Linked DNA regions of Canis lupus familiaris. The protein of the gene in region 5 purifies or fractionates together with the protein of the main gene of each other region. This does not show direct contact. Links are inferred from orthologs where the notes say so. Each region holds a gene or a part of one and is shown on either strand. Other genes may lie near its edges. The genes, in order: ETV1, ETS2, COPS6, ETV4, COP1, TRIB2 and MVP.

Region 1 (3,650 bases), on a different chromosome or scaffold from region 5:
CAGTTTTTCCTTCTGAGACTTACAAATTTTTTCATGGGGGTAACTGAGCAATTATGCAGAGTGAAGCACTATCAAATGTTTTAATCTCTAGATTGCTTCTGCCTATAAATGTGACAGGCTATCCTAGCCTTGTCAATGAAAAAATAACTCTGTGCTTTTCTAATCTCTTGCTCTCTATTCCTTATAAAATTTAAGACTATCTTCTAAAAAAATATTTTCTTAGTACAAAATTGAAGAATATTTAGTAGTCAAAGGGAATAAATAATCAAGATAGACAGCTCCCCTAAATATTAGTGTGACTTAGGCTTGTTAGATTATATCATAATCCAATTGGTAGTTTTGAGCTATTTTTTCTTCCTTAGATGCCCATTCTGGTCATCAAGAGTTTTTTTAAACGTTAAGCTCACTAAGAATGAAAAACAAAACAAAACAAAACAAAAAAAACTGATGAAGGTCATTCCAAAAAGTAAAGGCTTTATGCTTTGTCTTAAGAGAAAAGGCTGTATTTTAAGAATTGTGATGCTCTGCTAATGATGCTAAATAGCACATATCACACTGAAACTCGAAGCTTAAAAAACTAACATCTATTTAGAATAAGGCCAAAAAAGTGACTCCTAATGGAGCTTAACCCTGTGACCTTGAATGAATTTAGCCATTTAAAGGAAGACTAAGGAAACAGATCTTTCCCAAATTATCATTCTTTCTGAGAAGGACCAGAGTAGCAAAAGCCTTAGGAACAGAGTAGTCTTCAAGAAACTAATTAGAGATGGAGAAGCAATCTGAGCATGCACTTTGCTGTTTAAATAATGACAATTAAAAACTTCTGAGAGCTACCAAGTCATTACAGCCATGATCCCCAAAGTTTGTGCAATCAGCTAATCAGAGGGTCCCTGCTCATTTCCTGTTAAACAATCAAAGCAGGAAATATGGAGACCACTCTGAAGAACCACTAAATCAATTAACTGTTCACTTTTTACCCAAGCTTCCTCGTAGATGCTGACTTCTACCACCTTTGTCAAGGAAAAAAAATATTTTTTTCTAACTTGACACTCATTTCTAAAATCTGGGACTGTTTCACTGCAAGAGACAGTGATAAAAAAAAAAAGTAATGCTTTCCTAACTCCATTTTAAGCAATTACAAAGTAATTGCACATTAGTAATGAACATCTTCCCAGGGAAAGAAAAGGAAAAACAAAAAAGAAGGACTAACAATCACTAACTAAATGGGCAGCTATGTTGTTCCTGTGTTCCATAATGCATCTTTTCATGAACAATAAAAGGAAAGAAGCTGCATTAGTCATCTGTGCATCCACAGTAGCATGCTTTCTGTTCTGCTTTGTTAATTATGGGATCAGCTTTCAATAAATCTCAAGCAACAAGCTGCATGTGCTCTGCAGGGCAAAGGAAAGACCCCTCTTACTCTACACAAAGCTCAGCAAGAATGATACTCTCTGGTCGGATCTTTAAAAATGAGACCTCTCATGGGACAAAAGAAAAAGCTTCTGAATAGGGGAAGGAAGAGAGAATTTATAAAAGGCAAAGTTTAGCAAGAGTTAAATGCATCGTAAATGATGTGCATAAAAATCGTTAGGGCGCGATGTCAACTGTTTTCAGGGGAGTCGAGGGTGATCTTTCCACTCCTTCTCAGAAAAATTCAAACTTGAAGCACAGTGAGAAACCTACCATCAAATTTCTCTGGGACAACACAGGTGTCATCATAAAACTGCCTGGGGCCCTTCTCAAACATACAGCCTGTGGGAGGAAAAGAGGATACATTTATTCATGATAGAAATGAAGCTCACAAGCAATTTAAAATATAGCCATTAGCACAAAACTTGGGGTAGGAAAAGGACTCTGCCAGTTTTCAGCTCTGTGACCTTAGACACACTGTTTAGCCTCACTGTCTCTGTTCCCTCACCTATAGAATGGGAATAATGATAAATCACCTATCTCAAAGGGTTGTTGTGAGGAATAACTGGTTTAATATATGCAAGTTTAGAATAGTACCCAGCACACAGTGATACACGACAGATATTTATATTATTACCAACCCAAGCACAGAGCGGTTAACACTGGCAAGCCTAGAAATTATAAAGTATCATCTCCTTTTTCATTTTCTTCCAAGTTTTGTTATTTATGAGATAGTAGGAAAATCAAGATGAGTTACTCGTATTTACCTTGCACAATTACTTCCTGATAAACTGAAACACATTCTGTTTACCCCTTACTTCCCTGGAAAAATTTTTAGCCAGGTTAACCTCCTAATGTTTTCATCTTCAACAGACAAGATAGTTTTAATTTTCTTTTTTTTTTTTTTTAGCTTTTTTTCCCTGTAATAAAACTAAGTCCATGGAAAAAAATGCAAAATAAATCAACAGCTTTTAGCAATCATTTTCTCCCCCATGTATTCATGACTGTGACCCTCACTGAATCATTGTCGTCCTTAATCACCAGTAAGAAATTTCATATACTTTAGCCACAGTTTTCTTTCTCAGATGTACTGGTCTCTACAGTGAGTGCATAATATTAACAACAGTAGTGACAATAATCGCACTGCATTTTTGCTAAATTTCTGGTCCCAAATATTTTGGACTTACCAGCTTATTATATACTCTTCTTTAAAGACAAGCATTTACTTCTATCGATACCACTTATACAAAATAACCAGTATTAGACCTAACCTAAAAAGATGCATCTGTGTCATCTTCCTGAGGACACAGAACGTTTATGTCATGAACTATGCACACATTTCCAGAAACTCCTTAATAGGGAATGTATCTAAAGAAGATTATTCATTACTTTGTAGGTTATCAAAGTCCGTTAGATCAAAGCTTTCCCACGTGATTACCATGAACACATCCACAAAAACTCCTTCTGTAGGTCTCTGATGTGAAATTCCATTCTAGCAATTACTTATATAAAAATGAAAAATCCAGGATATTTAAAAGCAAATATATTTAAAACTACTCTCTTTTATTTCAAAACACAGACTTGGGTCTGTAAAGCAAAACTGAAATTCCTCGAAGATACATTTCAGTAGAGAGTAGGAAGGTAGGCTAATCTATAAAGCACATGTTCTATTTTAAAAGAATGTGGTTGTTGGCCAAAAAAAAACCCCAAAAAACAAAACAAAAAAACCCCACAGAAATCCACTTTTCAGCTGTTTATACACACATGACTCCTGTTAACCAAATTCAAGATAACATGAACTGAAACATCTTCCTTTTACTTTAAAAAGATAAAGTTTTTTAATAGTGGTTTAGGGAACATAAAATATGATGATTAATCAAATGACTGCATCTTTGGTACATCTGATTATTCTGATCATATTTACAAGGAATTTCAGTAATAAAAACTTAACTTCTGTTCTGCTGGGATGAGCCAGGAAGCCTTCTTGCCTCATATAAATGGAGTGGCAGCTAGGCACTTCTGAAAGAAGAAACATCAGTTAAAGAGCAGTTTGGAGCTGAAAATGTTATCAATAGACAGAGCAGTGGGAAAATAAAAGAAACTGACATGAATCTCCATGAAGGGAACTTGTCAACACTCAGTTAACATTTCAGGCAGGGCCCACACAAGAAATGGAAAGCTGAGGGGCGCCTGTGTGGCTCAGTCTGTTAAGCATCCAACTTGATTTCGGCTAAGGTCAT
Region 2 (2,868 bases), on a different chromosome or scaffold from region 5:
ACCAATATGTCACTGATACAAAGTTGGGAAGGGACCTGTTCTCACCCGCCTGTGGGGAGGGACTCCAGCACACCTCTGATATAACCCACCTGTTTGCTGGCATCCTGATGGACTCTGAAGTGTGTTTGAGAACCCATCTCCGAGGACCATCACTCTCACCTCTTGGTAAGTCAGCTCAGCCATGTCAGGCATCCTGAAGAAAGTCCTTGAAGTTCGAATGCTAACGGGGTTCCTCACATAAGCATCCTACAAACTCTTCTGTTATCTCTGCCAATCCCCCAACAAAGACAAGGTGCCTGTATCTTTCTATTCTAATCCCCCCCCCTTTTTTTTTTTTAAATTCTAATCCCTTCTTAAAGAATTTTTTGATTTAAGGGAACACTTTTTGGGGTCCTTAAGAAAGAGCTATAGTTGGTTGTAGCTTGGTCATGATTTACTAGGTGACCTGTGTGTAAAATTGGCTAAATGGACAGTGGATCAGGGTTCACTATCCTCACTCCACCTCCCCTCCTCCCTGTTGGGGTGGGATGAATGAGGATTCTTACAAGGAAGCATTTATATAAACAAAATACTTTATTATTTGAGAAAGAAAAGGCCAGATTACAAAATCTTTATACTGAAGTCTGTTCATTACCACACCAAAGGTTTATAATGGGCTTTAGTTTCTGTAACTATTAGGTTGAACCACATGAAACTGCCAACTTTGTAGATAAAAAAAGTCAAATATTGGCAATTTCATGTGGTTCAACCCCATATAAAATGAGCCAATGGCTAAGATTCCCTTTGGCAGCAAGATGTTCCCAGTCACATGTCTGTTGATGTTATAAACAGATGTCTGAGTGATAAACATGTCCTGCTTGAGAAAAACATCCTGTGCTTAGACCCTGGAAATGGTCTCGTGTAGGTACTGAGCGACTGGTCCCCCAGCTCCGGGGTTGCTCTTCTCAGCAGGCCCCGCCACCCAGCTTCTCAGCCTTATTACACAGATGGCCTCTCCTCTAGGGACACCAGCCCCTGCTCCGAGTGCCCTCCCACATTGCAGGTGAAGCCCGTCTGGCTCTGAAACCAGGATGACTTGATCATTTCCAAGCATCCCGAATGCACGCCCACCCAGGGGGCTCCTTCGAAACCACCATGAAAATTCTCCATCGTGAGCAAAACGTTTTTCTCACATCAAATCCTCCAGTGGATTCTCTTTCCCATCTTGCTTGTCCTCTCTCTGCCTCTGGGCATTCTGCATCCACGAAAACAAGAACACGGAGCTGTGGGTACTGCGCATACAGGAGTAGCATCGTGTCCGGACAGCCCACGATTCGCCAGGTGAGCAAGGACAGGACAAGTCGGGTTTTGCTCACGACCTCTCCGTGAAGATCACCCTCCCGCCTCCCACCTGCCCTAGGCTTCAGCTCCCAGTACAATATGTTTAACTTCACACGGGACGCAGATAAAAATAAAGCTTTCTTACAAATTACATTTTTTTCCAGTGAATTACTTCTGCAGTAAAAGTAGCTGCTACATAAATCCCTCCTGCTCTCTGAAAAGGAGCCACATTATTTCCAAAAATAGCATTCTTATTTTAATCATACAGAATAATTTGGGGCGCGGAGGTGGAACCCGGGAAGGAAATGGCTGGTCGGGGAGGTTAGTTGTTGGGGAAACACAGTCGAACTAAAAAATAAAATAAGTTTTGTGTAGAAACGGATTTAAAGGCATGCACGGAAATGGAATACATATGCCATTTGTCAAGAAAAATACTGCTTTATAGCTTTTACATTACAATTAAGGAGAAAGCAGAGGCGAGATGCGCCTCCAGATAATAACATTAAGTGTTTTTATAAAAATTCCCAAATGTACAAAGTCCTTGCCAGATAATAATCTGGGCAAAACAAAACAGAAACAGGGACTGACCCTGTTAGACGTATACCTGTAGGCATATCAAATGTAAATAATACAGACTTTACAACTTCTTCGTCTGGCCTGGCAGACTGTTTGCAAAACGCTGCTGGTGCTCTTGGAAACCGCAGTGAACACCGGACGTCTGCGTTCTCATTTCAAATACATTTGCAGAATTATTTTAAATTACAATATACAGTTCTCGTTAAATAGGACTCTGAGAGGATTCTGACAACAATTATTAGGGTTACAGTCATATATACAAACTAACTTCTGAAATGGCACGCCTGGCTGAACCAAAGAGACCACTTCTGCCTTTGTGATTCCTGGCTGCCAAAGGCAAAAAAAAAGGCAACAAACAACAACAACAACAACAACAAAAAAACGTGTGCCCGAGGCATGCTCGCTCGCTCCTTTGGAGAATATCCAACGGCCTGAAGGTTCCTGCCGCGCGGCCTGCTCGGAGCCAGGACGGCTTCCCAGCGCTTCCTTCTCGGCCATTCTAAGAGCATCATAAATAGTGTGTTCCCGTCAGCAGGCTTTAGAAGTGGGAAACCATGCTGCTTTGGGTGAAAAAGCGCGGTTTCCGAGGAAATAAGGCCACTGCTTCGTGGGGACTTTCCTGGACGCGTGCGATCCCGCCTTTCAGGGTCCTTGGAGCAGTCGGTGGGTCGGGGGGCTGCCGGCGCAGCACAGGGGGGGCCTCAGTCCTCCGTGTCCGGCTGGACGCCCAGGATGGCATGCAGTTCCTCGGGGGTGAACCCCAGCAAGTTCTGGAGGTCGCACACGAAGCGGTACACGTAGCGCTTCCCCGACGTCTTGTGGATGATGTTCTTGTCGTAGTAATAGCGCAAGCCGCGGCTCAGCTTCTCGTAGTTCATCTTGGGCTTGTTTTTCCTCTTTCCCCACCGGCGGGCCACCTGGACGGACACGGGTGGAAAGCGTCCAAATGTGCGATTAAGAGAAAGGGAACGA
Region 3 (4,144 bases), on a different chromosome or scaffold from region 5:
ACATAATTCTGGATCATAAAGACAATGACCATTTGATTGAGGGTGCTGCTCTCCAGCTCCCCCACAGTGGGCTGCGTGTGCTATGGCGGGCTGAACAGTGGCCCCCAAATACAGCCAGGTCCCAATCCTTGGAACCTGTGAATGTTACTTTACAGGGAAAAAGAGATTTTGCAGATCTGATTGAAGTATGAATCTTCGGATGGGGAGATTATCGTGGATTTATGATTAAGGATCTTCAGATGGGGAGATTATCCTGGGTTATCCCAGTGGGCACTGTATATAATGCCAGGTGTCTTTATAAGAAAGAAGCAAGGAGGGGTTTTATCGCACAAGGCGATGTGACTACAGAAACAGAGGGACAAAGAAAAAGATTTGAAGATGCTGCTAAAACACTGGAACTGAAGGAAACTGGAACACATTTCCTGGTACCTGCTGGTTGCGGGCACTGGAGTGGGCTCTGCAGGCTCAAGGCACAGGTCTTCACCTGCTTTCTGAGAGCTTTCACTTTGGATGTGGCACAGGCATACACTGAAAGAACCAGCTAGACAAATGGGTAGGGGAGCAAGGGGGAGTAAACGCAGTGCACAGCGACGTGCTTGGGCGTAGGAGTGGGGAGGGGTCGGAGTGGGCTGGGTTTGTCCCAAGCGAGTTTTGAAAGGCTGCTGGAGATGGAGGATAGAGGGAGGCCGGGAAGGGCTGGAGTGCTGGGCACGTTCCTAGTATGTAGGTAATACGGTATTTGCAAGGAGGAAAGGACACGCCGGTGAACCATTCGCGACCAGGTTTCACCTCAGATTATCCACTCAGTGAAATACCTATTTAGGTCCTTGGCTGTCGGGTTGGACGCGGCAGAGGCCCGCACGTGGGCGTGGGGCATACGAAGGGAACTGCCAGGGGAGCCGGCGCGGCTGAAGCACGAGGACCGAGGGCCGGGTGGCAGGCAGGGTCCTGACCCTGCGGGGCCTTGCACGCCATGGCCCGGGCGCGGATCTTGTTCTGAGGGCAATAACGTGGTTCTTCATTAATTCTGCAACAGTCTTAGGAACTGGGCCGTTTTATCCCAGTTTTACTGACGAGGACGGTAAGGCTGGGAGCGCGCAGGGTGAAGTAATTTGTCCCAGATCTGTCACCGCCGCAAGCGCGTGGCGGACCCGGTCTTCCGAAGTCCACCCGCTCCGGGGCCGCCCGCCCCACCCGCCGAGGCCCCGCGCCCACTGAGCATGCGCCGCTGGCCTACGGAAGCCGACGGGGAGGGGGCGGGGCCGAGGCTGGCGGGCGCGGGGAAAATGGCGGCGGCGGCGAACGGGACTGGAGGGAGCAGCGGGATGGAGGTGGATGCGGCAGGTAACGGGCCTCGCGGAGGCGGCCTCTGGTGACGCCCCCCGGGGAGCGACAAGGCCCCCCTGGACTCCCGGGAGGAGTCAGCAGTCGGGACGGCGATCCCGCCCCCTGGACTAACTTGCGGGAGGGATGTATGGCTCCGGCTCTGCCGTCTCCCGCTCGCAGCTCCGGGGCAGAACGTGCGGCCCCGACGCTCACTCGTCCTCCTTTTCCTCCACCCTCAGTAGTCCCCAGCGTGATGGCCTCCGGCGTGACGGGGAGCGTCTCCGTCGCTCTTCATCCCCTCGTCATTCTCAACATTTCAGACCATTGGATTCGCATGCGCTCCCAGGAGGGGCGGCCTATGCAGGGTGCGTGCTGGGCGTCAATCTCCAACCTCCTCTCCTTGGTCACCTGCCCCAAGTAGGGGTCTTTGCCCCCGCCCTTCCTGAGGCCAGTCCCCCCTCCCCAGGTCACCGTGTCTCCAGCATTGCGTTCCCACTGACCTCGACCCAGGGACCGGATTCTTAACCCTCCTGTTTTCCGTGTCGCTCTCTCCCCCAGTGATTGGGGCGCTGATCGGGAAGCAGGAGGGCAGAAATATCGAGGTGATGAACTCCTTTGAGCTGCTGTCCCACACCGTGGAGGAGAAGATTATCATTGACAAGGAGTATTACTACACCAAGGAGGAGCAGTGTGAGAGGGGGATAGACTCGGGGGTGAGGAGTGGGAGTGAGAAACAAAGGCAGAGTGGGGAAGATGGAGAGTGATGGGGAAAAATAGGAGAATGGGACAAGAACTGTGTTTGTGTGAGGAGAGTATCACAAAGGATCTCAGAAAAGGAACAGTTTAGGTACCCACCCCCCAGACAGTAATAGATGAGAGAAGATAGAAGGGACTAATTATTGAGAACTGAGCCAGGAGTTGAGCGGGGAGGGGAGAAGCTGATGAAAAATATACCAGGAGTTTCCAATGAAGGGAGGGTGATTTAAAGAATGATACCCTGTGCTCTTTCCCCTGCAGTCAAACAGGTGTTCAAGGAGCTGGAGTTTTTGGGTTGGTATACCACCGGGGGGCCGCCTGACCCCTCTGACATCCACGTCCACAAGCAGGTACACATGCATGCTGGTGCATGCTGGGGCAGGGCTTGAGCAGGGGAGGAAAGATGGGCATTGACACCCACATCCCCATTCCCTTCCAGGTGTGCGAGATCATCGAGAGCCCTCTCTTTCTTAAGTTGAATCCTATGACCAAGCACACAGATGTGAGTAATACTGACCCCATGCCCACTTAGGCACGGTGCTGGACAAGCATGACAATCTTACCCTCCTCCCCTGCTGTGCTTTACATCTCTGTTGGGCTGAATCTTCACTTGAGGTGAATTCTCCGCTCAGCAGCTGTGTGACTTTAGGTTAATCATTTAATCTCAGAACTGCTTTTTGCCCTATGTATAAGGTGGGGGTTAGCCTTACTTCAGTGGGCCCTTGGGAAGATTGGGAAAATCTGCAGAAGAGCCAGTACGGTAGCCCAGGTGCACTTGATGTAAGAGCTGTCTCCCGTTGCTTTACAGCTTCCCGTCAGTGTTTTTGAGTCTGTCATCGATATAATCAATGGAGAGGTAATGCCCTGCCTTTCAACCCCGCGGTCCTGCTCCTTGGCCTTTCCTGCTCCTGACTCTGCTTTTGTGCCCTGTAGGCCACGATGCTGTTTGCGGAACTGACCTACACTCTGGCCACAGAGGAAGCTGAACGCATTGGCGTCGACCACGTGGCCCGAATGACAGCCACAGGCAGCGGCGAGAACTCCACAGGTAAGGAAGACTGGAGGTGTTTCCTCAGCAGTGGGGGGTGGAAAGCGTGGCCAGGTGCGTTTTCAACCTTGGCCTCTCCCTGTCTCCCCCCAGTGGCCGAACACCTGATAGCACAACACAGTGCCATTAAGATGCTGCACAGCCGGGTCAAGCTCATCTTGGAATATGTCAAGGCCTCTGAAGCGGGTAGGACAGGCGTCTCCCTGGCACGCCTACCACTTTTTCTCACTCCTGAGGGTGACCTCATCCACATTAATGCAGTCCTTCTGTGCCTTTAGGAGAGGTTCCCTTTAACCATGAGATCCTGCGGGAGGCCTATGCTCTGTGTCACTGCCTCCCTGTGCTCAGTACAGACAAGTTCAAGACAGACTTTTACGATGTGAGTCTAAAACCCAGGCTGGGGACGTGGGGTTTGTACATCATGTCTGCACGCAGGACCCGGGACTCAGACATTCCCTGGGCAACTGGTTTTCTGTTCCTTCCAGCAATGCAATGACGTGGGGCTCATGGCCTACCTTGGCACCATTACCAAAACCTGCAACACCATGAACCAGTTTGTGAACAAGTTCAACGTCCTCTATGACCGACAAGGCATCGGCAGGCGGATGCGGGGGCTCTTCTTCTGAGAGGGTACTTGAAGGGACGATGCACAGGTTGGACAGTGGTCCCACAGGGGAGGGGCATCACACTCCCTTTAGAGAAACCTCCTGTTGATAATAAAAGAGGAGCAGCCCCTCAGCACCCCTTGCAGTGGCTCTGTCCTCTCTGTTGGGCACCACACGGCTTTCTCAACTCGGATCTTGAAAGGAGGCCCTTGGTTCCAGCCTTGCTCGGCAGGACAGCCTGATTGGGAACTCTCTGCCACTTGAGGTGACCCCGTCCTGTCAGGTGGATGCATCTATACTGGGCCAAAGGCTGCCTGCTTCCACCCAGGCGAGCTCTGTTCTCTAATGTCTCCCAGTGCAGAGACCAACCATATACACTTGACAAATGACTGCTTTTCCAGGCTAAGTG
Region 4 (4,414 bases), on a different chromosome or scaffold from region 5:
CACCCCCTTCCCATTCCAGACCCAGGCAAAAATGGACCAGCTGCTGCCAACATGCCAACCTCAGCCCACCCCTACATCACAGCCCTGGGAGCTGCCCACTGTGGGAAGCACAGGGACCCTCCGCTGACAGACAAGAAGCCTGGCAAGCCGGAGAGAAATCAGGCATTGGGAAAGGAAGTCTTTGAGAGACCGTGGAAATTGACACCTCTGCGTTCTTCAGCTCCAGCCCGGTCCGGAACCTCGGGAGGAGGATGGGCAGACTGGGTATATACTCTGTACCTAACTCAGAGCTGGACGCCCAGGGCTTGCAGAGTCGGGGAAGGCGTGTGCAATACCCCCCGGATCCCCAGATCCCTCCGGTACCCATATAGCCAGCCATTTGGTCACGAATTTCACAACATGTCTTGAGCTTTTGCTCTATGCTAAATAGTCATTCTGCTTATATACATATTTTGGGGTTACCACGGTAGTCAAGACAGATGGTCTTACTCTAAGGATCTAGTCAGGGGTCTTTGCCTTCTACCTCCTGCTTTTAAATTTTAAAGATGGTTCCAGAGGAGCTGGGTTTGAGCTTTAAAAAATGACCAATGATACCCAGGTGGAGGGATATCCTTTACGGAAATCCTAAAGAAAAGCCCTTAGAAGGGGGTTCCTAGTATAGTGGTTTCTAGGTTTTCATAGTGTTTAAATAAAGGGATCCTAAGATGGGGGTATTAACCCTTCCCTCGCAGACTGTCTAAACATAAGCCTTCTACCTGCCACCCCACCAGCGACACCCTGAGGCCCCACCAAAACGCACCAAGGGATCCAACCAGAAGACCCTCAGAACACAGCTCCCTATCCAGAGGAGGCCCCACTCCAGACTCCACCTCAGCCAGCTCATGGCTAACCCCCCAGCAAATACCCTAAGCCAAAGTAGGGGGAATTTGCCTGGGGCAGAGGTATTCGGGAGAGAAGGAGGGAGGATCACTTGCCATCAGAATTACAATCAAGGATATGTGGGGGTGGGGGGGGGGCGAGGGGTGAGCCCAGGGCCCTCTCTGCCAAAGCGCTGCAAAAAAGAATTATTTAAACTTTTGTTGTGCTTTTGGCTCAGACAGTAAATTGTTTAGCCCTGGGGGTTGAGAAGAAGAGAAACCAAGGGGGTGAAAATCAATGTTTTGGCAGCTCCTGAAGATAGGTTACAAATTAATTGCTCTTTCTCCTCATCCTCCTGTCCCTTATCCGCCCCCCTCCCCAACCCAACACACCAACACACACCTCGGCCTGGCGGCTGCAGCCAAACAAACTTTGCAAATGAAAATTTCAACCAGGAAAACCAGGAAAACGGGCCTGGGGCCAAGTTCCATTCAAATAAGCAAATACCCCACACAATGGTCTGATTCATCCCCAGGCCTAGTTACACAAGCCTGGCTCAGGGCAGAGAAAATAAATATCAATATAAGTGTCCACATTGGGCGCTGGGGAGAGAGGGGAGTAAGGGGGCTGGGGGGGGTCCTTGGAGAGCTCCTTTGGGCAGAGACAGAGAAGTGGGTTAGGTTGGAACATCAGGGGTAGAGAGCATCCCCCACCCCAATAATAGAAAAGGTCACAAAACTACTCACCTTCAGCAAGCCACGTCTCCTGGAAGTGACTGAGATCCTGGAAGAGATCTGAGGAGTGAATAATGGAATTGGAGGTGAGATGAAGGAGATGGTGAGAGGGAGGGAGCCCTAGAGAGCCGGGTGACCCTCCCACACACACTCCTTGAGGGTAGGGGCCCAAGAATAATCAAGAGTCCCTTGGAGGGGAGTCTTTTGGGGAACAGGGCGGTGGCTCCAGGATCGGCCCTCGGGGCGTGTGAAGTGAGGAGGGTCACGGTTTTCTCTCCGGCTCTTTACCTTCGGAGTCGGGGGGCGGCAGGGAGCCCGGGTCCATGAGCTTCCCCTGCGGGACCATCAGCGCTTCGCGCAAGCTCCCATTTCCGGGCGATTTCTGCGGGGAAGGGGAAGAATGCCCCCGGGTCACCCTGAGGCCCCCCGGCCTGGGGGGCGGGGCTGGGGTCCCGGGGTGACACAGAGGCCGGGCAGCGCTGGGCCCCGTTGGGGCCGCAGGGCAGGGCTGGGGGGGCGGGGTGCAGGGCGGGGGCGGGCGTGGAGGCCGGCGCGGAGCTCACGCTGCAGAAGGTGTAGGGCACTTGCTGGTCCAAGTATCCGCCTTTCATCCTCCGCTCCATCCGGCCGCTCCCTCCGGCCGCACCGCCCGGGCCCCGCGCGGGGGCAGAGACCTGGGGAGGGGGGGCTGCGTTCGCACACCGTCCAGGGAAGGCAGCGGGGTGGGGGCGGGTAAGGGCAGCGGGGAGGGGCAGTCCGGGGCTCCGGGTCCGACAGCAAAACTTCTCCGACTCACTCAGGCGCTGGGGAGGTTTCCGCCTGCCGAGCTGAGCGCCGTCACCACTCCCCTCCCGCCAAAGGAGGTCCCACCTGCTCCTGGGCGCCGGGCTCGCCGATTCGGCTGCTTTCTGCAGCCCTGCTCTGCCCAGGCTCGGTTACATAAGACGTGTGTGTGTGTGTGTGTGTGTGTGTGTGTGTGTGTGTGCGTGTGTGCGTGTGCGCTCGCGCGCGGAGCGGGTAAGGCGCGCACCATTCGCACGCCCACAACTCCCGCGCCCCCTCCAACCCCGAATCCCAGCGCCTCCCACACCCCCCCCGCCCGCCCTAGAATCTGCGGAGGCGGCGGTTAGAGAGCGCAGCGTGTGTCGGCGGCGAGGCGAGGAGTCTCGGACGCTCTCCCTCCCTCCCCCTCCCGCAGCCTCACCTGAGGCCGGGGCGTCTGAGCTGGAGCGGCGGGGGGTCGCGAGCTGGCCCCGGGGCCTCACCGAGGGCCGCGGGGCTAGGCCGGAGCGAGGCGGCCCCGGCCCCGGGTCCCCCGCGCACCGGCTTGTTTTCCGGGCGCCGCCGACAGTTGTGAGCCCGGGGGAGCCGCTGATTGGTGCATTTCCTTGCCTCCCTCGGCTCCCTTACCTCCCCCCCACCACCCCGTTCCCTTTGTTTCATTGACTTTTGTGAATGAAACCCTAGGGCCGGGCACGCCCGCCAATCCGGAGACTCGCCCGACCGGGCCGTGGGGGGGCGGAGTTTCCCAGAGGCGGGGGCCAATCAGAACGCAGGGGCTGGCTCCCGGCTTCATTCACGGCTCGGGCTCCCATTCATAAAAAAATAAACTCCTCCGCGGCCTGAGTTCATTCATAAAGAGCTGAGAGAAAAGGAGCGAAGCCGAGGGCCCGACGGCTTCCTCGCGGGGCTCCGCCGTGTCCCTGTGCGAAGCTCGGCGAGCTCCTCGGGCTGGCCCGGCTGGCGTCTGCACACGTCTCTGCATCTGCGTGTACGTGGGAGTGTGAACATGTCTGTGTGTGCGCCCTGCGGGGAGGCGAGCGGACTTGTGCCCAGAGGAACAATAATAACTAGCATTTATGAAGCGCTCCGCTTCCACGTGCTCATTTCATTCCCATAACCTGGCGAAGTGATTCTATTGTTTCCATTTTACAGAGATTGAGAAGGAAAACTCAGGGAAGGGTGGTGACTTGGCTGCGGTAACTCAGCGCAGCTGGAGTTTACAGCCCCCAATCTCCCACATCCCCCCGTACAGCTCTTTGAGGCCACAGCTAAATGAATTAAGGCTTTGTGACAACAACTGATACACAGTAGGCCCTCAATAAATGTAAGTTAGCACGGAATCCAGGCTTTTCCTCAAGGGTCTGCTCTGCGGAGCTGTTCTGTGACCCACTTTCTGTTGATTGCCGCAGAAACCGGAGGGCCCCGCATGGACCTCTGAAAGCGCAATTCCCGCTCAGCCATCTTTCCTCTTAATCTTCAGAGCAAACATAAGATCTTAGGGAGAAAAGCCCCAAGGCATCTGATGACCTGGGGGTGGGACTCAGTTAAAGAGCTGGTCACAGGGACTCCTGGGTGGCTCAGCGGTTGAGCGTCTGCCTTCAGCTCAGGGCGTGTGATCCCGGCCCAGGGCATGATCCCGGTCCGGGGATCGAGTCCCACATCGGGCTCCCTGCGAGGAGCCTGTTTCTCTCTCTGCCTGTGTCTCTGCCTCTCTCCTTGTGGGTCTCTCATGAATAAATAAATAAAACCTTAAAAAAAAAAAAAAAAAAAAAAAAAAAGAGCTGGTCATAGGCTCTGGTCCCTCAGTCATTCACCAGTTTGGTCAATAAACATTTATTGTGCCAGACACAGTGCTGGGTACCCCCAGGAGGCAGCTGTGACCAAGGCAGACACCTGATAAGAGCTGGGCTGTTTAGGCTGTAGTCATGCGGGCACACAGGACATGAAGTACCCCCCAGGCCTTCTTTCTGAGATGCTCTCTGGATCTACAGTGCATACACTCCTTTGAGGAGAGCCTGAATTTGTCCCCTGCTTACTTG
Region 5 (4,246 bases):
AATTAGGTGACAGACAAAAATTTTAATGATCTTACCACCACCACTACACCCTCCTTGCAAAAAACAAAAACAAAGAACAACAACAACAACAACAAAAACCAATGCCAACTGCTTATATTATCCTATGGCTCTCTAATTCCCTACAAAATAGTCAATATACAACTCATGGTGCCTGGCAGACAGTTGTGCCAAATAAATATCTGTTGAATAAATTATTGATTCTCTTATTTCTCACATCTTCACTACTATTTCAGTGCACCTATAGGAATGCTGGCATATTTGTTTTCTTTTAACCCTCTAAAAATTAAAATGTGGGGATCCCTGGGTGGCTCAGTGGTTTAGCGCCTGCCTTTGGCCCAGGGCGCGATCCTGAGGATGCGGGATCAAGTCCCACGTCGGGCTCCCGGCATGGAGCCTGCTTCTCCCTCTGCCTGTCTCTGCCTCTCTCTCTCTATGTCTATCATGAATAAATAAATAAAATCTTTTAAAAATAAAATAAAATAATTAATTAATTAAAATGCAAATGGTGGTTAAAAAGACAAATCCAAGCAGCGCGGGTGGCTCAGCGGTTTAGCGCCGCCTTCAGCCCAGGGTGTGATCCGGGGATCCTGGGATGGAGTCCCCACATCAGGCTCCCTGCAGGTAGCCTGCTTCTCACTCTGCTTGTGTCTCTGCCTCTCTCCGGGTCTCTCATGAATAAATAAATCTTAAAAAAACAAAAAAAAAGAAGAAGAAGAAAAAGAAAAAGAAAAAGAAAGAGAAAAAGAGAAAGAGAATTTTTGAAAATCCTCATTTTGTTTCATCAGCTTCTACTTCATCATATGGCACCCTACTTACTGGGTATGAGCATAAACACCTCTTAGACCCACCCATAAGCTAGTTAAATTATTTATAAATAACAATTATAGCCAAGTTTCAATGAGAAACGAATTAATTGTCTCAATCCAGAGTAATGTAAGACCAAAGCAGAAATAGGAGTGAAGATAATTTTACTGCAAGACCTAGAAACTCTAATCAATTATCTTTCCTACAGTTCCATCGTGTAGCCCAATCTTACTTAATGATGCCAACTCACATCATCTTCAACCCTGAGGTAAATCAACTTCCCCTATAATGACAGCGCAAGCCAACTTCCTACTCATGTTCTAAGTCTATCAACAATTTCCTCCAAAAGAAAAGTGCAAAATCCTACCCGTTCTCACTTAACTAGAAGCAATTCCTTTCTCCTACTCCTACTGTTTGGATTGGGTTCTGGATACAAAAACCCAATGAGAAATCCCAAAACACTTCCAGCAAGACAATCCACTCCATCTCTCACTTAATATAGATAACCCAACTCTGCCAGACATCCTAACGGTATACTACTGTGTATCGTTCAAGATGCCAACTATGATGACAAGGTGTCTACTACCTGGCGTTCCTCAGATCGGAAGTTCCAGGGCACTGTAACCTGTTACACAAATGTAGTACAGCTACATCCGACACATGGATGCTGTTGAATAAATGTGGTTCCCTCGCGTCCAAGGCATTTAGTGACAAGTGGAAATTTTTGTGAACAGATTTTTATGACTACAGTAGCCTCAACAGCAGATTTAAAAGTGGCCTACCCTTTGAAGTGGGAGGATATTTATACACACACACACGAGGGATACTGACATGAAATACTACTTCTCCTTAAAATATCCATACCCACGTCTGGAGCACCATCTACCACACTTCCAATAAGCAAATTTGACCAACTCCGTCCCTCGGCCTCCCAGGAAGCTTAATCCTCTCCTTTTACAAGTTCAACAAGAAATCCGGACCGACAGGGTGTCGAATTCACCAGAAAGCAGAAAATTCACCAGAAAACAAAAAAACAAAACAAAAAAAAAAAAAAAAAAAAAGCAAGGCCCAACTTTCCCCGTTTACGCACCACCATTTACCCGACCCTCCTTCTCGGCCCCCTGACGCGTAATTCTTCCTTGGACTCCCCTCACGTCCTCCCCAGCAGCCCGGGCCTCCGCAGTCACCCCCACGTCCTCCGCCGGCCTGAGGGTCTGCAGACGCCGCCCCGGCACCACCTAGACCACCCTCCCGCCGCACCCCGCCAGCCCACACCGCGCAAACTCCTCGTGCCGCGGCGGGCAGGGCGATGCTCTTCCAACTCACCACACGAAGTCGTTGCTTTTGTCCTCGTAGGAGTTGATGAGCCCGTTGCACAGGGGGGCGAGCAGAGGTCTCTTCCGGCTGCCGCTGCCGAGGCCGGAGCTGCTCCCTCCCACGCCGGCGCTGGGCCTGGCCGCGCAGCTGAGCCGAGACTGGCCCGCGGACACCGCCCCGCCGCCGCTGCCCGACACGGCGGCCGCCACCAGCACAGGCCGCGCCGCCGGGCCCCCGAGGCCGCCCGACCCCGCGGCCTGGGCCGCCCCGCCGGACGCCGCCGCCGCCGCCGCCGCCGCCGCCGCCGCCGCCGCCGAAGGGGGCGACGGGGAGGAGGACAAGGACGAGGAGGCGGAAGTCACCGAGGAGGCCGCCGAGGAGCCGGGGCTGGTCCCGGCGGAGCCCGACCCGGCCTGGCGGCTCCCGGACATCGTGCCTCCCCCACCTCCGGCCGGGCGCTCGGAGAGGGACCGCGACCCGCCGCCGCCTCCCTCCCCTCACCTCCCCTCAACCTCAGTGCATCCTGAGGCCGCGCGCCGCGCCGCGCCGCGCCGGGAGGTGGGGCTGAGGAACAATAAAGTTGATCTTTTTTTTTCTTTTTTCTTTTTTTTTTTTTTTTTGTTTAAGGCGAGCACACAGCCGCGTCCGACGGGAGGAGGGGGCGGAGGAAACTGAAACAGCGGAGGAGAAACCACTGCCGCCGCCGAGGCCGCCACCGCCGCGAGCCCCGCCGCAGCCAACCGGGGCGCGCCGAGGGCCGGCCGTGCGCGCGCGCGAGCGGCGGAAGGGGCGGGAGCGGCGGCGGAGACAACCTCGAGGGCGGCTGGGACGCGCGCGGCGCGCCCCCGGCGGCGGCCTAGCAACGCGGGCTGCGCTCGTCCGCAGCCGAGCGGCGGGTGACGTACGGGGGGGAAGGGGGGAAGGGGGAGGGGGAGGGGAGGGAGGGAGGGAGGGGGTGGGGCTGTCCCAAAGGGTGAAAGGGCTGCGGAGAGGGGAATGAATGATAGGGTGGCGCCCGCGCTTGGGAGCTGGCGGGGAGGGGAGCGCGCCGAAGCGACTGCGCACGCGCTCTGGGCGCCGACCCTGGCTGCCGCCCGGGTCGCGGCCCCCCGCTCGGAGCGGCGCTGGCGCGGACCGGCTGCAGCACTGCGTGGGGCGACCGCCTTCCTGAAGGCCGAGACGCGGCTGCAGCCCGCGGCCCGGGCATGGCAGGTGCTTCCGAGTCGCCTTCTGAAGCCTCCGTGGACGCTACGGGAAAGACCCGGGGCTCTGAGCGGCTGAGAAGAGCCCTGCATTGACCCTCCACGAGTCTGGGCCCTGCTGTTAAGCCATTCATTCCACGCGGCTGTGAGGAGTCCATTAAGATGAAGTCAGTCACCGGTGCTTTGTAAATTGCAAACATCGTAGCAAGTGTTATCGATTATTATTGGTCCGACCGTGCTGTCTTGCATCTTGAAACATGAATTTACCAAATTAAGCATGACGATGACGAGAAAACCAGTTCTATCTGATCTGACCACGGCTCAGCCAGAATCTCGGTTTAATGTGGATCTGATATCCTCTACCACAAAACAAGGAAACCTGGCGCTTAATACCACGAAAAAAAGAAAAGAAATGTGTAATTTCTGGTAGCTTTTTGGAATACGGAAAATTGGATACAGGTTCTTCATTTGCCATTTTGAGACTCCCCAAGATTCTGGGTGATGTAAATTAGAAACAACTGGGTTGTTTTCGGTATTCTTTTCCAATCCTCGTCCTGTGGTTCTTAGAGGGAAAGATCCCAGATTTATTTTTGTTTAAAGATTTTATTTATTTATTCATGACAGACACAGCGAGAGAGAGAAAGAGGTAGAGACACAGGCAGAGGGAGAAGCAAGCTCCATGCAGGGAGCCCAACGTGGGACTCCATCCAGGGTCTCCAGGGTCACAACCTGGGCCGAAGGCGGTGCTAAACCGCTGAGCCACCCGGGCTGCCCAAGATCCCAGATTTAATTCTGTCCTTTGAAGACCTTTCCCTAGGAACCTTTATCCATGCTGAATGAACTGAACCAGAGGGGCCCTGATGAAAGCCCAACAAAAAGACCTAGCCATTCATCTGAGCAGT
Region 6 (3,650 bases), on a different chromosome or scaffold from region 5:
GATAGGTGGTTATCTTGTTTAAAAAGAAAAAAAAAAATCCTTGGCCAATTGTACCTTCCCTGAATCGTGACAAGAAGTTAAAAGCTAACAGTGCGATGCCAAGATGTGTGTCTGAGGCAGAGAGTTTTGATTCTGTCGGGATCTGCAACTATTTTGGAACAAATGAAAAGTGGGGTAGGCGGAAGCAGCCCAACTGACAGGGGTGGTCTCCGGGGGGCTACATCAGGGAAGAGGAGCTCCAGGGGCACTGACCCGACCCCAGACCCCCACCCCACATCTCTCGCCCCCCCTGCTACATGTTCAGCTAGCTCCTTGAAGGTTCTCCTTCTTTGAACCGAGAAACTTGAGTGTCAGTGTCTTTCTTGCTACCAAGCCAGGCGATGCGTGTCCTCTGGAAGGACTTTCCACTGCCCTCTCTCGCTCCTGGTACCTGCTAAGTCTCTGTGGGGCATGAGCTCAGTTAAAGAAAGGGTCCAAGTTCTCTTCCATGTTGACATCCGGCACCAGCTGATCAGACACTTCCTTAGCACCATATCCTGAATTCGAGACGCTAAAATCTGTAGAAAACCAAGGATGGTCCAGAATTTCCTGCGAGGTCAGCCTCTCTGAGGGCTCCCGCCGCAGGATGCTTCGGATGAGGCACTTGGCCTTGGGTGACAGAGTCTCTGGAATGTTGAACTGGCCACGCCGGATCTTGCTGAAGAGGGAACTGGGCTCAATGTCATGGAAAGGGTACCGCCCCACCAACATGGTGTAGAGCATCACGCCCAGGCTCCACACGTCGGCTGCTTTGCCCGAGTAGCTGCCACTGGTGTTCAAGATCTCCGGGCTTACGTAAGCGGGGCAGCCGTGCTTGTCGGAGAGGGAGTCGTCATCCCCCCGCAGGATGTAGGCATCTTCCAGGCTTTCCAGCTTGACCCGAGTCCTGCAAGAGAGAGGACAGCGTGAGCTCCTACAGGTATACTGACACACATGGATCTCATCACAGCGTCATTGCTTCTGCTCTAATGTTTCCGAGATCATCCATTCATTCATTCAACCTGGTTGGCCAAACACAGCTTACTGAGGGCCTTCTAGGTGCCAGACCCTGTTCCATGGTGGGGGGGGCCCAGGAGTGAATAAGTGACAGGGAATTTGCATGAAGCTTAAGAGCTATTGGGGGACCCACACCTCCAGCAAGTAAATAGACCATAAATGACATGATTATGGCCCCATCTCAGTGATGAGGAACTAGGAGGTTCCTACTATTCTCAGATACATCTAGGGGGTGATGGGGATTCACAGGATTTGAACTCAGACCCAACCAACTGGGAAGCTCCCAGTAGCTCTTTCCATAGCCCTGGCCAGCTTCTGGTTGACATGATACATTCTAAAATGACCTTTCACTCAATGGCATTTTGGCTTTATAACAGTCCTTTTGTTAGATATCTGAGATTTTAGGATTCCAGTTTACAGGTAAGAACATCAAGGCTCATGGAGTTTAAGTAATTTGTCCAATGCCTTTTGACTAGGAAATAGAGAAGACTTGGCCCCACACCTTCCTTAGTCAACCTGTTGCTCCTTCGCCACTACCAAGCTGCCTCTCTGTAGGACATAGGCAAAGCTGGGGAATGTTCCTACAGGAATGCATTACTATTAACTAAGCCCTTCCAAGGCTGACAACTTCATCGCAAGCCCCTCTTCTTCTTCTTCTTCTTCTTCTTCTTCTTCTTCTTCTTCTTCTTCTTCTTCTTCTTCTTCTTCTTCTTCTTCTTCTTCTTCTTCTTCTTCTTCTTCTTCTTCTTCTTCTTCTTCTTCTTCTTTCTCTTCTTCTTCTTCTTCTTCTTCTTCTTCTTCTTCTTCTTCTCTTCTTCTCTTCTTCTCTTCTTCTTCTTCTTCTCTTCTTCTTCTTCTTCTTCTTCTTCTCTTCTTCTTCTTCTTCTTCTTCTCTTCTTCTTTTCTTCTTCTTCTTCTTCTTCTTCTTCTTCTTCTTCTTCTTCTTCTTCTTCTTCTTCTCTTCTTCTTCTCTTCTCTTCTTCTTCTTCTTCTTCTTCTCTCTTCTTCTTTCTCTTCTCTTCTTCTTCGTCTCTTCTTCTTCTTCTTCTTCTTTCTTCTTCTCTTCTTCTTCTTCTCTCTCTTCTTCTTCTTCTTCTTCTTCTTCTCTTCTTCTTCTCTCTTCTTCTTCTTCTTCTTCTTCTCTTCTTCTTCTTCTTCTTCTTCTTCTTCTCTTCTTCTTCTTCTTCTTCTTCTCTTCTTCTTCTTCTTCTTCTTCTTCTTCTTCTTTCTTCTTCTTCTCTTCTTCTTCTTCTTCTTCTTCTTCTTCTTCTTCTTCTTCTTCTTCTTTTCTTCTTCTTCTTCTTCTTCTTCTCTTCTTCTTCTCTTCTTCTTCTTCTTTCTTCTTCTTCTTCTTCTTCTTCTTCTTCTTCTTCTTCTTCTTCTTCTTCTTCTTCTTCTTCTTCTTCTTCTTCTTCTTCTTCTTCTCTTCTTCTTCTTCTCTTCTTCTTCTTCTTCTTCTTCTTCTTCTCTTCTTCTTCTTCTTCTTCTTCTTCTTTCTTCTTCTTCTTCTTCTCCTTTCTTCTTCTTCTTCTTCTTCTTCTTCTTCTCTCTTGTGTCTTCACTTCGTTCTTCGTCGTCTTCTGCTTCGTGCTTCTTCTTCTTCTCTTCTGCTCTTCGTATTTCTTTTCTCTCTTCTTCTTCTTCTTCTTCTTCTTCTTCTTCTTCTTCTTCTTTTTTAAAGATTTTATTTATGAGAGGCACAGAGAGAGAGAAGAAGAGACATAGGCAGAGGGAGAAGCAGGCTCCATGCAGGAAGCCCGACGTAGGACTTGGTCCCGGCACTCTGAGATCACGCCATGAGCCGAAGGCTCAACCGCTGACCCACCCAGGGCATCCGCAAGCCCTTCTTCTTTCCAAGATTTTCTGTTGAACTTGCCTCCTGTCTGGCCCGTCACACTCCCAGGGGCTGGTCCTTGTCCTGATAACGATCTGCCTTAGTTTTACCTGTAACCTCGACCTCTAGGTGTCAAGACGTAGGTGACTGGTTTCTCTTATGTGTGTGCAGGGGTATGTGTGTCAATCTTCCCAGTGCCACTGAAGGACGACTGAGCTGACAGGCTCCAGGGCTCTCCCGGAGGCACGCATGAACAGAGGCAGAGAAACTCCACACCGACTTCTGAGACTCTGGGGTCCAGCACTCATCCTCACCCAGCAGGGCTTGATATGACCATTGGGCACAAAAATAAGTGCTCAGTAAATACTTAGGGACATAAGTTAAACTCGTAAAATGAACTATACTAACTTACAAGTGAACGAAGCTGAGGACTAGGACACAACGTGACTTGCTCAAGACTGAAGACTATCCCCCACCCGGCGCCAGAAGCTCCGAGACCAGCATTTCTCCTGGGCTCAGGGGCCTCCCAAGATGTCCCATTTCCCTGGTCTGCCGTCCCCTGTGTGGAAAGCTAAGTATTGCGACCCTTCAGTGCTTAAAATGGAAATCGTCCTATTCTCCTTGCTGGAAGCCTCCAACAGCAGAGCTCTTGGAGACGTTAAACCCCAGAGGCTCAGTCCCATTCCATCACATCATGAAGGCTTGCCACGAAGATGACATGGAGCAGGGATGAGGGGCTGGAGTCAGGGTAGCCCAGAGAGTAGCAGGCCCTACAAGGGCC
Region 7 (4,413 bases), on a different chromosome or scaffold from region 5:
TAGGCTTAGGTCATGATCTCAGGGTCGTGAGATGGTACCCTGCATTGGGCTCAAAGCTCAGTGCAGTCTGCTTGGGACTGCCTCTCCCTCTGCCCCTCCGCTTGCACATGTGCTCTCTCTTGCTCTAAATAAAATATCTTTTAAAAAATAGAAAAAAAGGTTGAGGCTACACAGACTGAGCCATCCGGGCATCCTGACCATTACTATATTTAAAAGCTTCCCCACTAAATCTAATACACAGCAAGGACTGAACTCTCATTATCTTGGGCCACTTGCTAACTCTGAGCCGGAGTGTCCTAGACTGAGAAGTGGAAAGAAAAGGGACTATTTCCTGGGCTTGAAGAGATTAGTGGCCACAGGGTATCTCTAGTGCACAGGCTCAAAGTAGGGGGCTGGGAGGAAGGAGGGAGATTTAAAGACAAGCTCAGATTACAGACTGCTCCTCAAGGGCAGGGCATTTGGCATTTGGTTATTCACCTCCAGCCCAATCCACTGCCAGGCCCAGGGACCCCCTAGCCAATGCAAGTCCCCTGCCCCACGCAGCCTGAAGTTGGAGGGGAGGCCGGTGGCCCAGCCTGCCACTATCACCTCTATCAAACTCAGGTTTAGGGGTCCCTGGGTGGCGCAGCAGTTTGGCGCCTGCCTTTGGCCCAGGGCACGATCCTGGAGACCCAGGATCGAATCCCACATCGGGCTCCCGGTGCATGCAGCCTGCTTCTCCCTCTGCCTGTGTCTCTGCCTCTCTTTCTCTCTGTAACTATCATAAATAAATAAAAATTTAAAAAAAACAAAAAAAAAAAAACCTCAGGTTTAGGAAAATGCACGATGCCTAGCATAAACAAGGGCTCATTATTGCAGTTTCCCTGATTTTAAACATTCTAGACTTTGGGGAAGGCCAGAAGCCTTCACTATGCACAGATGTTTATACGCTGGTTTAGTTTAGGGAAATTATTTTCTGCTTTAGGGGACTTTTGAGAACTTGTCTCATACTGACCACAACTGTGTAAGAGCAAAGTTTTAGGAACTTTCCTTCCTAGGGAAGACTTATCTGAGCTCCAGTCCAACTACTTTGTGGGAGGAGCAGCTTGGTGGCCTCACTGGAGCCACAACACATCTGCCAGCTCAGAATGCTTCTTGTCCTATCTCCCGGACACTAATTAATGCTCATCACTGAAGGCAATGATTGCCTAGTTGAGAAGTGACCCAGGAACCAGGCTTCACAATTCCTGATCCAGATCAGTGTTTTCTAAGCTCACTCCATCATAAGACCCAGCTGAGAGCATTGCTCCTGTTCATGCGGATTCCCAGGCCTCACCCAGACCAGCTGAGTTTCCAGGAGGCTCCGGAACATGTATCTTTGGCAAGAGCCCCCAAATAACAGCTCCCACTTATTAAGGAATTAACCTGTGCTAGGTGTTGTGTGCCTTTTAACTCATTCATCTAATCCTCACAGGAACCTAGAAGTTAAGGAATTTTGCACAACGGTCAAAGGACAGGGTCAGAATCCTGTCTCTTACCCTACCTGCAGAGCTCCCAAACCAGGAAGTAGCCTGGCTTCTTGGCACAAAACAGGGACCTAAGACCAGGGAGGGAGTTGCGGGGGGCGGGGGGGGGGGGGGGGCGCTGCAGGTAGCCTCCAACAAACAAGGAGGCCCAAGTTCTTGGAGCCCGGGGTGGGGGTGGGGGGGTCAAGGGGCATCCACTCAAGGTGGCTCCTCTACCAGCTCCTGCCTCTGGAGAGCTGCCTCGCCCAGAAAGCTTCACCCCAGGTCAGGCCTGTGTGCCAAGGGCGGAAACAGGCAGGAGTTCCCAGGGAGCACACAGGCTGGCACCCCATGTAACAGAAGGCTTCCCCCTCACAATCCAGGGTCCCCCCAGGGCAAGGAGCAGACAACACAGGGACATCTGTCTCAACCCACTGTCTCCCACCCCTCCAGACTTCACTCAAGAAGAGCCAACCCTAAGATGTCCACAATCACAGACTGGCAAGCCCAAAGGAATTTTGGGTTCCTTCATTTCTCCCAAAGAGAAAAAGAGCCTTGCTCAACAACCAACCCCCACACCTTCTAGAAGTCCAGCCTACCTCAAATTGCTTTCCTAACCACTTCCCACATGGTCCCACATTGGCATAGCCTTTAGTGAGGCAATAGGAAAGCTTCATTTGGCAGAGATGAAGGATCCCGGGGGCAGGGGTAGGGAGAAATCACATTCTAAAAGCTCAAGAGAGGGATCCCGGGGTGGCTCAGCTGTTTAGCGCCTGCCTTTGGCCCAGGGCGTGGTCCTGGAGTCCGGGGATCGAGTCCCACGTCGGGCAACCTGCATGGAGCCTGCTTCTCCCTGTCTCTGCCTCTCACTGTCTCTCATGAACAAAAAAAAAAAAAAAAAAAAAAAAAAACTTTAAAAAATAAATAAAGGCTCTAGAGGACAGGCCAGAGCCCAGGCCAGCCCCAAGGGGGAGCAGACAGCAGGGACCCAGGAGGGAGTATAAATGGACCCACTTTCCTCTGGCCCTTACTTCTGATGTGGGAGCCCCTGAAGTCGAGAGGCCTGAGATTTTGGGGGGTAGGGAGTGTTGGCAAGGTAACAAGTTGACCAACCTTTACTTTCAAAATACAGAAAAAAGAAAAAAAATCCAACAAGGAACGTAAGCCTCCACCCACCTTCTTCCTCCTCAGGGTCAGAGAGGTCTTACCTGCCCCGGCAGAAGCAAGCGGCCCTAGAAGGCAGGACCAGGCTCAGAGAGCCTGGAGGGACACAAGGCCCCACCACTGGTTTAGGGGTGTTTAGGACCAGTACGAAGTATACCCGGAAGGGTGTCCGCTGCCACAGATCCCTCAGATGGGGGAACTCCCTGGCCCAACCCCAGGGATCACTTCCTGACAGAGGAGGGCAAGCTTGGGGGTGGGGCTTGGCCATTTAAAGAGCCCTTGCAGCTGTTTGTCTCCTTTTTTTCCTATGGGCGGCTCCTCTGGCAGCTGAAGGCACTGCAGCCCTTTCAGCCCTCAGGAAGGTCCCGCCTCAGAGCCAGCTGGCAGCACTGGAACGAGAATTGGGGGCAGGTGCTGAGCTCATCTCTGTCCCATGTGGCTTTAATTTTCATTTCCCCACCTGAGTGACTAGGATCCTGATCCGGCTGCTCCAGAACTGGGTTCCTGCTGCAGCCCACCCTCTAGGAGAAAATAACTTTGTGTTTTTTTTATTCTAGATTCCAAAAATTCAGCCCAGGTCTCCAAATAAATGTTCAACAGAAAGCATAAATACACACACATGTCCTCTTTCTGGCAAGGTGCGGTGTTGGGAGCTTGGGAGCTCTCTCCTCTTGCCCAGTTCCCAGTGCCCAGAGTTAGGGAAGGAGAGCCCAGAAGGTATAAGCTCTGCACGCTAAAGGCTGCAACAACACTCAATATTTCCGTTGCCGGGGGAAGAGTGTGCTCCCTGAGGACCGGAGCGGGGGGCTGGTGGGGCTGGGGTCCTCTGAGTCCAGGCTGAAGAGATCCCTGCCAGTACGAAGGATCTGCTCCTCCAGCTTCTTGTGTCGCTTCATGTCTGAGAGGACCTTGTCTAGGCGGGCCTCCCGTTTCTGGCTCCGGGCGGAACTTCCTGGAGAAGAGGAAGGTAAGAAATGTGGACGGGAGTGAGGTGCTGTGCTCCAGACCTGCCTACATATTACTCATTGCTTAGGGAGCTCATTAAACAGAGATTTTCAGGTCTCTGTCACAGAGGTTGTAGGATTTGAGGTTGGGCCTCAGATGGGGTAAGCAGTAAAGGGCTGACTTACAAGAAGGAGCCAGTAATGTGAAAACCAAGGTAAAGATATCCAGGCAGGGGAAGAGCAAGTGGAAAGGCCCCAGAGCAGGAACAGGGAGGTTTGTTCAAAGGGTATAGAGAGCTGGGGTATGGCAGGGAGAAGGAAAGTTGTGGCTCAAGAAACGACTCTGAGGCCATGATGAAAGTTTGGATATCTTAGGTCAAACGGAAATAAATTATCTTTGGAAACTTTGGCGGCCCAAAAAAAGTCAGGGGGAGTTGTGGTGTTTGGATTCCCTCTTGATATGCTCTTTCCCCCAACAATGGAATCCTTTGGAGAATTTTAAACCAAGTAGTGACATGATTTATATTTTGAAAGGATCATTTTGGTTGCTGAGGAGAAGCAGGGAGGCCAGTTACGAGCCATGGCAAATATCCAGGCAAAAGAAATGATGGCTTGGGGGTGCCTGGGTGGCTTAGTCGGTTGGGCTTCTGACTCTTAATTTCAGCTCTGGTTGTGATCTCAGGGTTGTGAGATCCACCCCTCAGGATGGGTTCTGGGCTGGGAGTGAAGTCTGATTAAGATTCTCTCTCTCCCTCTGTCTCCCCTGCCCGCCTTCCCCAGAAATGTCCTCTATAAAAGAAAATAAAGAGAAAAGAAATGAT

Evidence for each region.
Region 1: the proteins of COP1 (region 5) and ETV1 purify together in Homo sapiens (affinity purification with mass spectrometry; 4 studies listed by BioGRID and IntAct, counting the BioPlex papers as one, with this or other methods). This does not show direct contact. The link is inferred for Canis lupus familiaris from reciprocal best matches to the Homo sapiens genes COP1 and ETV1.
Region 2: the proteins of COP1 (region 5) and ETS2 purify together in Homo sapiens (affinity purification with western blotting; 3 studies listed by BioGRID and IntAct, with this or other methods). This does not show direct contact. The link is inferred for Canis lupus familiaris from reciprocal best matches to the Homo sapiens genes COP1 and ETS2.
Region 3: the proteins of COP1 (region 5) and COPS6 purify together in Homo sapiens (affinity purification with western blotting; 3 studies listed by BioGRID and IntAct, with this or other methods). This does not show direct contact. The link is inferred for Canis lupus familiaris from reciprocal best matches to the Homo sapiens genes COP1 and COPS6.
Region 4: the proteins of COP1 (region 5) and ETV4 purify together in Homo sapiens (affinity purification with mass spectrometry; 5 studies listed by BioGRID and IntAct, with this or other methods). This does not show direct contact. The link is inferred for Canis lupus familiaris from reciprocal best matches to the Homo sapiens genes COP1 and ETV4.
Region 6: the proteins of COP1 (region 5) and TRIB2 purify together in Homo sapiens (affinity purification with mass spectrometry; 4 studies listed by BioGRID and IntAct, counting the BioPlex papers as one, with this or other methods). This does not show direct contact. The link is inferred for Canis lupus familiaris from reciprocal best matches to the Homo sapiens genes COP1 and TRIB2.
Region 7: the proteins of COP1 (region 5) and MVP purify together in Homo sapiens (affinity purification with mass spectrometry; 3 studies listed by BioGRID and IntAct, with this or other methods). This does not show direct contact. The link is inferred for Canis lupus familiaris from reciprocal best matches to the Homo sapiens genes COP1 and MVP.

Annotation. Positions count from the first base shown.
Region 1 is NC_049235.1:28,726,856-28,730,505, forward strand, and holds part of ETV1 (ETS translocation variant 1), read right to left. Parts: intron 3,430-3,650; coding exon 3,361-3,429; intron 1,753-3,360; coding exon 1,684-1,752; intron 1-1,683. UniProt on the Homo sapiens protein: Transcriptional activator that binds to DNA sequences containing the consensus pentanucleotide 5'-CGGA[AT]-3'. Required for olfactory dopaminergic neuron differentiation; may directly activate expression of tyrosine hydroxylase (TH).
Region 2 is NC_049252.1:33,537,922-33,540,789, reverse strand, and holds the end of ETS2 (protein C-ets-2), read right to left. Parts: intron 2,814-2,868; coding exon 2,598-2,813; 3' UTR 555-2,597; downstream 1-554. UniProt on the Homo sapiens protein: Transcription factor activating transcription. Binds specifically the DNA GGAA/T core motif (Ets-binding site or EBS) in gene promoters and stimulates transcription.
Region 3 is NC_049227.1:9,446,685-9,450,828, reverse strand, and holds COPS6 (COP9 signalosome complex subunit 6), read left to right. Parts: upstream 1-1,195; 5' UTR 1,196-1,220; coding exon 1,221-1,344; intron 1,345-1,565; coding exon 1,566-1,691; intron 1,692-1,884; coding exon 1,885-2,016; intron 2,017-2,343; coding exon 2,344-2,432; intron 2,433-2,521; coding exon 2,522-2,584; intron 2,585-2,890; coding exon 2,891-2,938; intron 2,939-3,015; coding exon 3,016-3,130; intron 3,131-3,223; coding exon 3,224-3,316; intron 3,317-3,408; coding exon 3,409-3,509; intron 3,510-3,615; coding exon 3,616-3,756; 3' UTR 3,757-3,874; downstream 3,875-4,144. UniProt on the Homo sapiens protein: Component of the COP9 signalosome complex (CSN), a complex involved in various cellular and developmental processes.
Region 4 is NC_049230.1:19,589,889-19,594,302, reverse strand, and holds the start of ETV4 (ETS translocation variant 4), read right to left. Parts: upstream 2,841-4,414; 5' UTR 2,797-2,840; intron 2,578-2,796; exon of another isoform or gene 2,389-2,577; intron 2,267-2,388; 5' UTR 2,216-2,266; coding exon 2,156-2,215; intron 1,975-2,155; coding exon 1,881-1,974; intron 1,679-1,880; exon of another isoform or gene 1,653-1,678; coding exon 1,605-1,652; exon of another isoform or gene 1,476-1,604; intron 1-1,475.
Region 5 is NC_049228.1:23,215,999-23,220,244, reverse strand, and holds the start of COP1 (E3 ubiquitin-protein ligase COP1), read right to left. Parts: upstream 2,900-4,246; 5' UTR 2,574-2,899; coding exon 2,152-2,573; intron 1-2,151. UniProt on the Homo sapiens protein: E3 ubiquitin-protein ligase that mediates ubiquitination and subsequent proteasomal degradation of target proteins.
Region 6 is NC_049238.1:9,260,662-9,264,311, reverse strand, and holds the end of TRIB2 (tribbles homolog 2), read right to left. Parts: intron 926-3,650; coding exon 457-925; downstream 1-456.
Region 7 is NC_049227.1:18,042,426-18,046,838, reverse strand, and holds the start of MVP (major vault protein), read right to left. Parts: upstream 2,849-4,413; 5' UTR 2,693-2,848; intron 1-2,692. Other genes in the region: PAGR1 (PAXIP1-associated glutamate-rich protein 1), read right to left, coding at 3,401-3,600. UniProt on the Homo sapiens protein: Required for normal vault structure. Vaults are multi-subunit structures that may act as scaffolds for proteins involved in signal transduction. Vaults may also play a role in nucleo-cytoplasmic transport.